2 separate regions of the Mus musculus genome follow, and region 2 is reported to be linked to region 1. The links are microRNA targets in miRTarBase. Many come from high-throughput screens and were not tested one by one. Region 1 holds a microRNA gene; the other region holds the end of a gene's coding sequence.

Region 1 (5,930 bases):
CCGAAGGCGGTCACCAGAAGCAAGGAGTTCTAGGTATTGGTGGAATGTCTGGGCCTTGTCACGTTCTGCATGTCGCCTATGGATGCTTTATTGTCCTGTGAAATTTGAGAGACCCCACTTTCATTGCAACAGGTTTTGGAGCGTCAGGGAGAACGAGGGAGAACCACTGTAAGTACCTTCCCTTTTCTTCCGAGGAACGAAAGGGTAGTGCTAAGACTGGGAGGAGGTGGGCGGAAGGTCCGCGCCAGCGGTGATGGGAGGGTTAAGGAGTAGCGGAGTGGCGCTGCCTCCCCAGGCCAAAACGGACTCGCTTCGTGGAGGGATGGAAGCTCTAGGCTGACCCTTTAGGAAGTATTTCTGGGACCTAGTTCACAGTCACCTGCTCAAGTAAACGCACCGCAGGGGACCGCCCTTGTCTTCCCGGACCTCTCTGGACCATACAGGCCTTTGCCAGGCTTCTCTGGCTCGCACAGGTGCAGCAGACTTGCAGCTAATTAGCAGCCCACCCTATCAACGAACTGAACTACGGGCGGGCCAGCATCCACAACTGCTAGAATTGACCCAATCAACACCAAGGCAACGGGGGTCCCTCTCTGCTGTCCAGCCATTATTCTCTCTGCCCAGTCTATCTCAGCCTTCTCTTGCTGTATATAGGTTTTAATTTAAAATTTGATTTATTACAGACAAAAACAAACATATAACCCTTGATGGTCTTGGGTGTGTTGGATTGGCCTGTTTCCAGGAAGGGCTACAACTTCTGAGCTTATGTAGACATTCCTCTCCTGTCCCTTTCTGGGTCCTAGCTTCACTGGTGTGGGTCCCAGTTTGGGATACCCGGTGAACAAAAAGAGTACTTTCTCTTTCCCTCCGTTTCTCCTTAGCTGCAGTTGAAGAATTTCTACTCTACTCCAGAGTCCAGTGGAATTGGGTGGGATCAGAGGCAGGGACTCCAGTTCTTTGGCTCTGAAGTTTGAAGCTGAGAATGCTGGTGACATCTTCTGGGTGTCATTAGAAGGGTTGGCACTAGAAGGAGAGTCAAGGAAATAGTAGAGGCTTGCCACTCACTGCAAACCACAGGTAGTTTAATTTTAATGGAACAGTAGCAGATTGGTAAGGACCACAGGGACCAGGCATCCTCCCTCTCTTGTGAGATGTCTTCCCTTCCTGGTCAGAGAAGCTGAGACTGGGCTCAGGGCCAGGTTTCTTTGCTGGGCCCCTGGTGAGGCTGAGCTAACAGGGAAGTGAAGACCTTTACAGCTTGTAGTTCCTTCTATGAACCAGGCCTGCACACAGTGAACCAGGCTCCATGGTGAAAAATCTGGACTCCCCAGACTTTCTCTGGCCTTGCCCCTGCCCTCTTCCTTGGCACCCTTGGCTGTGAGGGCTCATCTCTGCTGAGGCTGCTTGCTTGCTGGCGCCTTGTAGCTGCCCACAGCACAAAAAGCCGGAGAGATCAAAAGCATTTGTATGGGCAGTTGAGAGGGAGGTGAATATTTAACGCTTTTGTTCATCAATAACTTGTTGGCTTTGACCTGTCTGAACAAGTCGAGCAATAAGGTGAAATGCAGGTCACAATGTCTAACAAATATGAAAATGTGTGTACTCATCTTGGTCCTCACTCAACCCATCGGACTTCCCCAATTTGTCTGGGTAAAACAGAGGTAGGCCCAGTGTCCCCAGAAAGGCCTGTCAACGTGTCCATGGGTGAAAGGGCTGGCATTAGGAGAAACTGGGGAGAGTCTTTAAACAAACGGATTTTAACCCCCTTTTTTTTTTTTAGAACTGACACCTGGGAAATCCCTGCAAAATAGTGGAAGTGAAAGATGGTGGGAGGGCATGGAAGGGCAAAGTACAGGGTCAAAGTGAGCACCTAATTTTGCCAGATATGATGAGGGGAGTCTCCCTGCCCCACCCCATCAAAATCAAGGCATGGGGCTTGAAAGTGATTTTTCGAATTATATAGGAAGGGATCAAAACAATACTTAGAAATGTGGACATCTTCAATCTGTTATCAGGCATCCATAAGCTCGGCCCAGGCCAGGGCATCCCTCTGCCCCTGAAATCAGCCCAGCCCCAGAGTGCATCTGGGCTCTTGATGCCCTGAATTGAGGGGCAAGCCCAGGACAGCGGAGGCGCTGGGGCGGCGAAATTCGCGAACTTTTGTACTCTTCTGTGCTGCTGTCGGCAAAGCAAAAATAATGAAACTTTGTGATATGTTTGTAAATGATTTCGAATGACCCCTCGCCCTGCCCTTCACCATTAGCTCGACAGTCTCAGCCCAGGGAGGCTCGGTGGCCGCAAACAGCGCCTGCCTCCGGGTCTGCAGCAGCAGTCATAGCAGCAGCAGAAGCAGCAGCAGCGGGATCCGAAAGTCCGGCGGGGCTGAGGGCCCAGAAAGGTAAATGCTCGAATTCTAGGAGGACTAGCTGTGACCACTCACTTGGCTTAGGTTCTGGTGAAGACTATTCCTTTTGCCTTTTTCAAAACTCCCTTTCTGCTGCTGAGGGCCTTTGCTTCTTTTTGGGAAATACCACTTGATAAGGGGGCGGGAGATTTGGGTTCTGAGAAGGGGCAATTAAGCCGCCATCTCTGGGGTGAAAAAAAAACTCCCCTTCTTTTCTTTTCTTTTTTTTTTTTTTAAGAAGAAGAAGGTCCTGGCTGCTCAGCTACTTGGTGGCCCCCATCCTGGCAAGCCGATGAGGGAACTCATTGCTGTAGCGAGCAGCAATACTTAGAAATGCACCGAGCCTACCTGCACCATCTCTGAAAGCCAGGCTTGGTGAGTTCCTGGTGGCTGTGCTGAAGAGATCAGGTCTGGCAGCTGCCTGAATGTCTGCTCTGGGTAGGACCCGAGGTTGTAACGTTGTCTATATATACCCTGTAGAACCGAATTTGTGTGGTACCCACATAGTCACAGATTCGATTCTAGGGGAATATATGGTCGATGCAAAAACTTCATATATCTCCGACATGGCCAGAGACTGAGGCGCGGAGAGTACTGGCAGCCCAGCCGGCAAGCCACCTCTTTCTTTTTCATTACCTTAGACTCCAGGATGATCGACTTTGCCTGGTGAAATTGTACAGCCTTTTCCTGGAGAAACTCCTATAGATATTCCAGTAGGTGCTCAAGTGGTTGTCTGAGTGTAAAGCCAGAGAGCCAGGTTTTAGGGTATTAGAGAGTGAGGTGAAAGGCCAGAAAGCTCCAGCAGAAGCCCTGCTCTGAAGGAGCATGAGACACAAAGGTACCCAAATGGGGCTCACCTGCCCTTGTGTGGGAAGAAGACAAACTGAAAGATAGGCCATCGGAGACCGTTGGGGTACATTTAGGCAAGGTTAAGGTCCCCCTCCCCACCATCCCAATATGACCCAACCCCTCAGCCACCAGACTCAGAACTGTGAGGGCCTCCTGCAGAAAGATCCAACTTCAACTAGAAACACCCCAGCCTGCGCATTGGCAGAAAAGCATAGTGGTTACTCATTGCCTAACTCAATTCAGGTCCGCCAGATTCTGGTAACTTTTGGGTGACCCTGATGAAGACAAAGCCAAGACAGGTCTTTGTATGTCAGAGTCCAGGACTCCTGCCAGCTGGCCGGGCAGCCTGCCTGCCTGCCTAGGACTCTACCCAACTCGGAGGCCACATTGCCCACACTCATTCTTCCTTATTTTGCACCCCAGTAGGAGAATTCACTCTTCTTTGAACTATGTCCATTCTGGGGGCTGCTTCAGGCGATGGTGAGTAAGGAGGGCATGGGAGGTTAGCAAAGTCAGTGGAAGACAAAAGCCGAGATTACCTGCCGGAAATTGGGACCCCGGGGATAGAATTAGAACTCTATTAGCATCTGTCAGGGACTCTCAAATGTGGCATGGCAAGTCACTTGATTACACGTATGTTATTTAGTTAAATTTGTGAAAATTATGAGATGCTCACCAACCCGGTGATAAACATGCTTTCTTCCTATTGGCTGGCCTGGTCACATGGCCGCCCAACTTTATTCAGTTGACAGCAAGTAGGAGGGCCCAATGGAAGGAGAAAAAAGACAACACGAGAAAAATTAGTATTTTCTACCTTCTGAAATTAATGGCCATGAGTTCGTATATGGTGAACTCTAAGTACGTGGACCCCAAGTTTCCTCCGTGCGAGGAATATTTGCAGGGTGGCTACCTAGGCGAGCAGGGAGCCGACTACTACGGCAGCGGTGCACAGGGCGCCGACTTCCAGCCCTCGGGGCTCTACCCACGGCCCGACTTCGGCGAGCAACCCTTCGGAGGCGGCGGGCCCGGGCCTGGCTCAGCGCTGCCCGCGAGGGGTCACGGACAGGAGCCGAGCGGCCCGGGAAGTCATTACGGTGCCCCGGGAGAGCGGTGCCCAGCGCCCCCGCCTGCGCCCCTGCCTGGCGCTCGGGCCTGCAGCCAGCCCACCGGCCCCAAGCAGCCGCCCCCCGGGACAGCACTCAAGCAGCCCGCTGTGGTCTACCCTTGGATGAAGAAGGTGCACGTGAATTCGGGTAAGGAGTGGGGGCAGCGACCTCACAGCCCTCCCGCACCACTCCTTGCATCTTTTGGCCTGCACCCCCCACCCCAGGGGTTGCGAATGGGTAGGGGCTTGTGCAGCTTCCTTGGGCGCCGCAATTACTCTCTCCATAAATTTTTATAGCTGAGGGAGCAGGCCGGGACCATGTGGCTGGCTGCTTGGCTGTGGGCGCAAAAGGGGGTGGGGATGGGGATGGGGTGGGGGGAGGACTCCATTTCCACAGCAGAGGGAACGCAGAGCAAAACAAGGACCTTTCCAAAATGTTGGCGATACCGAGCTCTTGGTGGGCCAGTGGCAAGGGAGAACCTTTGAGGAGGACCTGTGAGCGTGGGGAGTGTGTGCATGGAAGGGCTTGGGTGGGAGTGTGTGTATGTTTAGGGAGAGGGCGGGAGGGAGGAAGCTGGCCAGCTTGGAGCACAGGGGGGGCCCGAGGGCTGCGAGACGCGCCAGGAAGTGAGGGCAGAGGCAAGCCTGGGGCCTAACTAGTGGCCGGGCTCTGACCTGGCTGTCTTGTATGTTTTGTCTCATAGTGAACCCCAACTACACCGGCGGGGAGCCCAAGCGCTCCCGGACGGCCTACACCAGACAGCAAGTCCTAGAACTGGAAAAGGAATTTCATTTTAACAGGTATCTGACCAGGCGCCGTCGGATTGAAATCGCTCACACCCTGTGTCTGTCTGAGCGCCAGATCAAGATCTGGTTCCAGAACCGGAGGATGAAGTGGAAAAAAGACCACAAACTGCCCAACACCAAGGGCAGGTCTTCTTCCTCATCTTCCTGCTCCTCTTCAGCTGCCCCGGGCCAGCATTTGCAGCCAATGGCCAAGGACCACCATACGGACCTGACGACCTTATAGAAGTGGGGACCCTGGGCCTATCCCTTCTTGCACTCCAGGTTGAGGCGAAGCTGCGGGTGCAGGCGGGGCCTGCTGTCACCTCACTGGGCTCTAAGGTACTGTGGGGGTGGACCTGGGACCTGCAGGCCGCCCTCGGACTAGGTTACCTTCCTGCCCGAGGGCAGCCCCCTCCCTAAAGTGGGGAAGGGTGGGAGGGTGGGCGGGCTTCTTTAAGTAGATTATCATATGGCAGGAGCTACTGAGAACATAAACCCTTGGCGAGTCATTAAACTCCTGAAAATCTCTGCTGGTGGATTGAATTTGCAAATGAAGGTTGGAGGCTTTACCCCAGTGGGAACCGGGATGGTCTCCTCCACACCACCCCCTTCAGGGAGCTGTGTGGCTTAGTAACTGTGGGGGAGTTGAGGCAGAAGGCCAGCCAGTGCTAGGTGCTTTCAGTGCAAGCAGGAGAGGCTGAGCCAGAATCCCAGAACTTTCTGGATTATCTATAGAATTTCTTCTGTGATTTAAAAAAAAAAAAAAAAGAAAGAAAGAAATTGTTT
Region 2 (4,243 bases), not on the chromosome of region 1:
TGTTCTAATGCTTCTTGTTGGTAGCTGCCACCTGTCCAGTGATCCTGTCCCAATCTCTTGTTCCTGAGGTGTTAGCTTATAGCCCCCATCTTGGTCCTTTTCCACCATTTTCAGCCCCTCCAGGGCTTGGAGGACCCGGAGGGCCACACTCTTAGAGCCTCTGCTGAAGTGGCTGGGTCCGACACTGTTTCTCTGCCATCCTCCACAGATCCTAGTCATGGAACCAACCTGTGCACTCCCACAGAGGTACAGATGCCGTACTGTGGAAGCAGCTCCTGTGTAGAACCAGCTCTCATCATATGAGGCAAGCTCTTTATGTTTGGCCAGCTCCCGAGTGCTGGGATCAAAGGTGTGAGCCACCACACCCGGCCCTACCATTTTTATAATCAGAATAAGATCATTCAACAACACTTGGGAGGCAGAGGCAGGCAGATTTCTGAGTTCGAGGCCAGCCTAGTCTACAGAGTGAGTTCCAGGATCAGCCAGGGCTACTCAGAGAAACCCTGTCTCGATAAACCATGCCCCCCCAAAAAAAATTCATTCAAAAATAATCTTTGGAAATGAGCTGGTCTCATCTATTTATGGGTTTTTCATTCTTGTTTCAGGTAGCCTTCATGGCTGTGCCACATCATTTGCAGGAGACTTCCTATCTGCTGCCTCCAGATCCAGAGGATTGGGAGAAACAAGGCATCCCGGACTTTGTCTATGGCCAGGAGGATCTCGTTGGCAAGGAAGTTCAGTGGCCCAGGGATTCACCTAGTGCCGTGGACACAGTACCACTATCCCGTTTCGACTCTGCCCTCCGCTCTGCGTGGAGGCAGCGGCTGGAACTGGGCCTGTTTCGGTACCGCCTAGAAGATCTGCAGACCCAAATCCTCCCCGGTTCCGTGGGGTTTGTAGCTCAGCTGAATATAGAGCGAGGGATACAGAGGAGGCGCCCCCAGAATATCAGAAGTGTGAGGCAGGAGTTTGACCCGGAACAGTTTAACTTCAATAAAATTCGACCTGGAGAAGTCCTTTTCCGGATGCAAAGGGAACCTAAAGGCCCAGCCACTCCAAAGCAAGAGGACGACGTCCTTGTGGTGATCAATGTCAGCCCCCTGGAGTGGGGTCATGTGCTGCTGGTGCCTGCACCTGCTCAGGGGCTTCCCCAACGGCTGCTGCCTGGAGTGCTGCGGGTGGGGCTAGAAGCTGTCCTACTGAGCTTGCACCCAGGCTTCAGGGTCGGCTTCAACAGCCTGGGAGGCCTGGCCTCTGTGAACCATCTTCACCTGCATTGCTACTACCTGGCCCACCCACTGCCTGTGGAGGGAGCGCCAAGCACACCCCTAGACCCCAAAGGTTGTATACATCTGCTGCAGGCCCTGCCGGCTCCTGGCTTTCTCTTTTACACCAGTGGGCCAGGGCCGGATTTGGAAGTGTTAATTAGCAGGGTATGCCGAGCTACTGACTACCTGAGTGACCGTGAGATTGCACATAACTTATTTGTGACCCGGGGAGCTCCCCCCGGGCCGACATCATCTACCTCAGATCTCAGTGGGATCCGAGTCATTCTGTGGGCCCGGAAGTCCAGCTTTGGAATAAAGGAAAGTGGGGCGTTTAATGTTGCCCTCTGTGAGCTGGCTGGCCACCTCCCTGTCAAAACATCACAGGACTTCAGCAGCTTGACAGAGGCAGCTGCAGTGGCCCTCATTCAGGATTGTCTGCTGCCTGAAACTCAGGCAGGTGAGGTACGGGCAGCGCTGGTAGCCCTGATGGCTCAGGAAGAGCTGTGATTCTTCAGGAGTGTTTTCTTTGCTGACTAATTCGAGGCCCTTTCCCAAAGGCCAATGTGAATTCAGTCCATTTGTGCATTTCATGTCATGACCTTCTTCCCACCTCCCCACATAAGGACTGCAGAGAGAGCACTGAGAGAATGTGTTCTCATGAATGTTTCTGCTGCCTCTTCCCTGAGAAGCCCCAGGGTAACAAGCCCTGCCATGAAGGGCCAGATCTGACCATTTCAGGGGGAGGAGTGCTTGCTGCTAAGTCTGTTGATCAGGGTTCAACCTCCAGAACCCATAGGGTAAAGGCTGTCTTCTGACTTTAAAATGTGCACCATGATACATTCACTCACACACACACACACACACACACACACACACACACACACGTAAATATATCTCAAAACAAAATTTTTTAAAAAGTAAATATAAAAATAGTTTTTTTGTTGTTGTTTTCCTTTTTTGTTTGTTTTTCGAGACAGGGTTTCTCTGTGTAGTCCTGGCTGTCCTGGAACTCACTCTGTAGACCAGGCTGACCTCGAACTCAGGAATCTGCCTGCCTCTGCCTCCCGAGTGCTGGGATTAAAGGCGTGCGCCACCACTGCCTGGCTTCTTTTGTTTTTCAAGACAGGATTTCTCTGCCTGTACTAGAACTCTGTAGACCAGGTCCGCCTGCCTCTGCCTCCTGAGTGCTGGGATTAAAGGCCTGCACCACCACCACCCTGCTAAGAAAAAAAAACAAATTTTAAAATGGAGAGTGGGAGAATTTCACAGTCCTGGTTTGTCAGTGTTCTGAGACTTGTAGGTCAATCTAAGAAAGAGGGTCACTCCAGGGTGAAATATGGCCTTACAGGGAGATCCAGGCTCTGTGGACTCAATATCAAATGGCCACCCAAAAGCATATATTGATTGTTACACAAAAGTTGTGGGTTTTTTGGTTAAAAAAAATTCCTCACACCGAATCTAGTCTTATGTGTTTCCTGAAGGAAGACATCACTGCCCACAGCTTCAGTTCTTATTGTATACTGTTTGCAGTACCCAACAGTGCACATTCCCAGTGTGCCAGGACTGTCCAGTGACCAGGACTTTGCAAAGGTTGTAAAACTCCTTCAGAAAAACAGTTCTATAGATAGTAGAAAACAGTCACTCTTTTCTTAATGATTTCTTCAAGGTCAAAACACTTCTAGCAAACAACCATTCTGATGGCGACCCTAGAGTGCTTCTACTAGATGTCTTGCTACACAGGTTGCTCTCTGGACTTCGCCTTTGGTGTGAACCATCAGCCTCTGCTCTGATGGCTTACAGATACATCCAGCTACCTTGTCTTACCTTTGCTCTTGTCCCTTGGTGCGCCACTGACTCTTACAGGGTCTCACTGTGTAGCCCTGGCTGTCCTGAAACTCACCCTGTACACCAAACTGATCTTGAACTCAGAGATTCAGCCTGTCTCTGCCTCCTGAATGTGAGCCACTAAGCTCTGTAGCCCAAGCTACCATCAAACTCCTCAAATCAAAGAACCCTGTTTTAGTTTCCTGAATCTCTGGGACTCCAGCTTTGCCTATGGCTGGTTCATTGGCTGACTTTGCCCTCCCCCCTTGTATTTGCAACTGCTTCATCCAGGTGGTCAACTTCTCTAAAAAAAATTTTAAAAAAACCAAACTATCCTTTCTTCAAGCCCCCAATAACAGTTGACTAGTGAGTTCAAAGCCAGTCTGGGCTATATACTGAGACTACCTCAAAAATTCTTTTAAAAATGCTGGTCATAGACCACAGAGATAGCTCAGGAGGTATCAACACTGTGTGCCCTCAACACAGTGACAGGCGTTTAATCCCTAGGATCCACTCAGTTCAAGGAGAACCAACTCCTGCAAATGGGTCTGTCACTTCCCGCACATGCACCAAGGAAATGTAGCAAGTGTTCTGCTTGTTATGAGAGACAAGGTCTCACTATGTAGCTTTGACTGGCCTCCAACCCACAGAGATCCAACTGCCTCTGGCTCCTACATGCTAAGATTAAAGGCATGGGCTACCACAGCTGGCTAATATTCTTAAAGAAGTGTTGGTCCTTTTATTGCTTCCATTCAACAGAGGAAGAAATGGTTGTTGACCCAGTCACTTGCTTAGGTCAGGCAGCTAACGGCAGAGTGGAGGTTGCAGCACACGCAATGAGATGCCAGACCTGGTACAGTGTATACTGGAGTCTCTCCAGTCAGCCTTTCCTACCGTGGTGATGCTGCCTTTAACAGTTGGTGGCCCTCAGGGATCTTTCCACAACCAAGTCTCTGTAAATCCTGGAAGTTTTAAAAAGTCTCATTGTTGATTACAGATATCCTAGCATTTGGGAGGCTGGGATGGAAGACTGCTACAAAATCAAGGCCAGCTTTAGTCACAAGCCTTACCCCCTTTAAAAAAGACAAACAAACGGATGGGGAGATGGCTCATCAGTTAAGATTGATTGGCTGAGCCAGGCTCAGGAAGGA

The links. The annotated mature microRNA mmu-miR-10b-5p reads UACCCUGUAGAACCGAAUUUGUG and lies in region 1 at 2,875-2,897, shown strand. An mRNA with a match to its seed (bases 2 to 7 or 8) in the 3' UTR can be bound and repressed. Matches are read on the target gene's strand: a 7mer-m8 pairs with bases 2 to 8, a 7mer-A1 pairs with bases 2 to 7 and ends in A, and an 8mer does both.
Region 2: miRTarBase lists Gdpgp1 as a target of mmu-miR-10b-5p. Seed matches in the 3' UTR shown: 7mer-A1 at 1,961-1,967, 7mer-m8 at 2,242-2,248 and 7mer-m8 at 3,128-3,134.

What each region holds. Positions count from the first base shown.
Region 1 is chr2:74,723,200-74,729,129 of GRCm38, forward strand. It overlaps Mir10b (microRNA 10b), which reads left to right and starts at 2,871; the gene lies at 2,871-2,938. All of the region lies in intron 1 of Hoxd3 (homeobox D3), which reads left to right. It overlaps Hoxd4 (homeobox D4), which reads left to right. Exons shown (of 6, transcript NM_010469.2): 3 at 133-168; 4 at 2,264-2,779; 5 at 3,677-4,506; 6 at 5,063-5,930. The coding sequence starts at 4,080. The coding sequence ends at 5,388.
Region 2 is chr7:80,237,609-80,241,851 of GRCm38, forward strand. It overlaps Gdpgp1 (GDP-D-glucose phosphorylase 1), which reads left to right. Exons shown (of 2, transcript NM_178752.3): 2 at 606-3,812. The coding sequence starts at 615. The coding sequence ends at 1,775. Among named protein-coding and RNA genes, the nearest start is that of Ttll13, 6.6 kb to the right of the region's middle.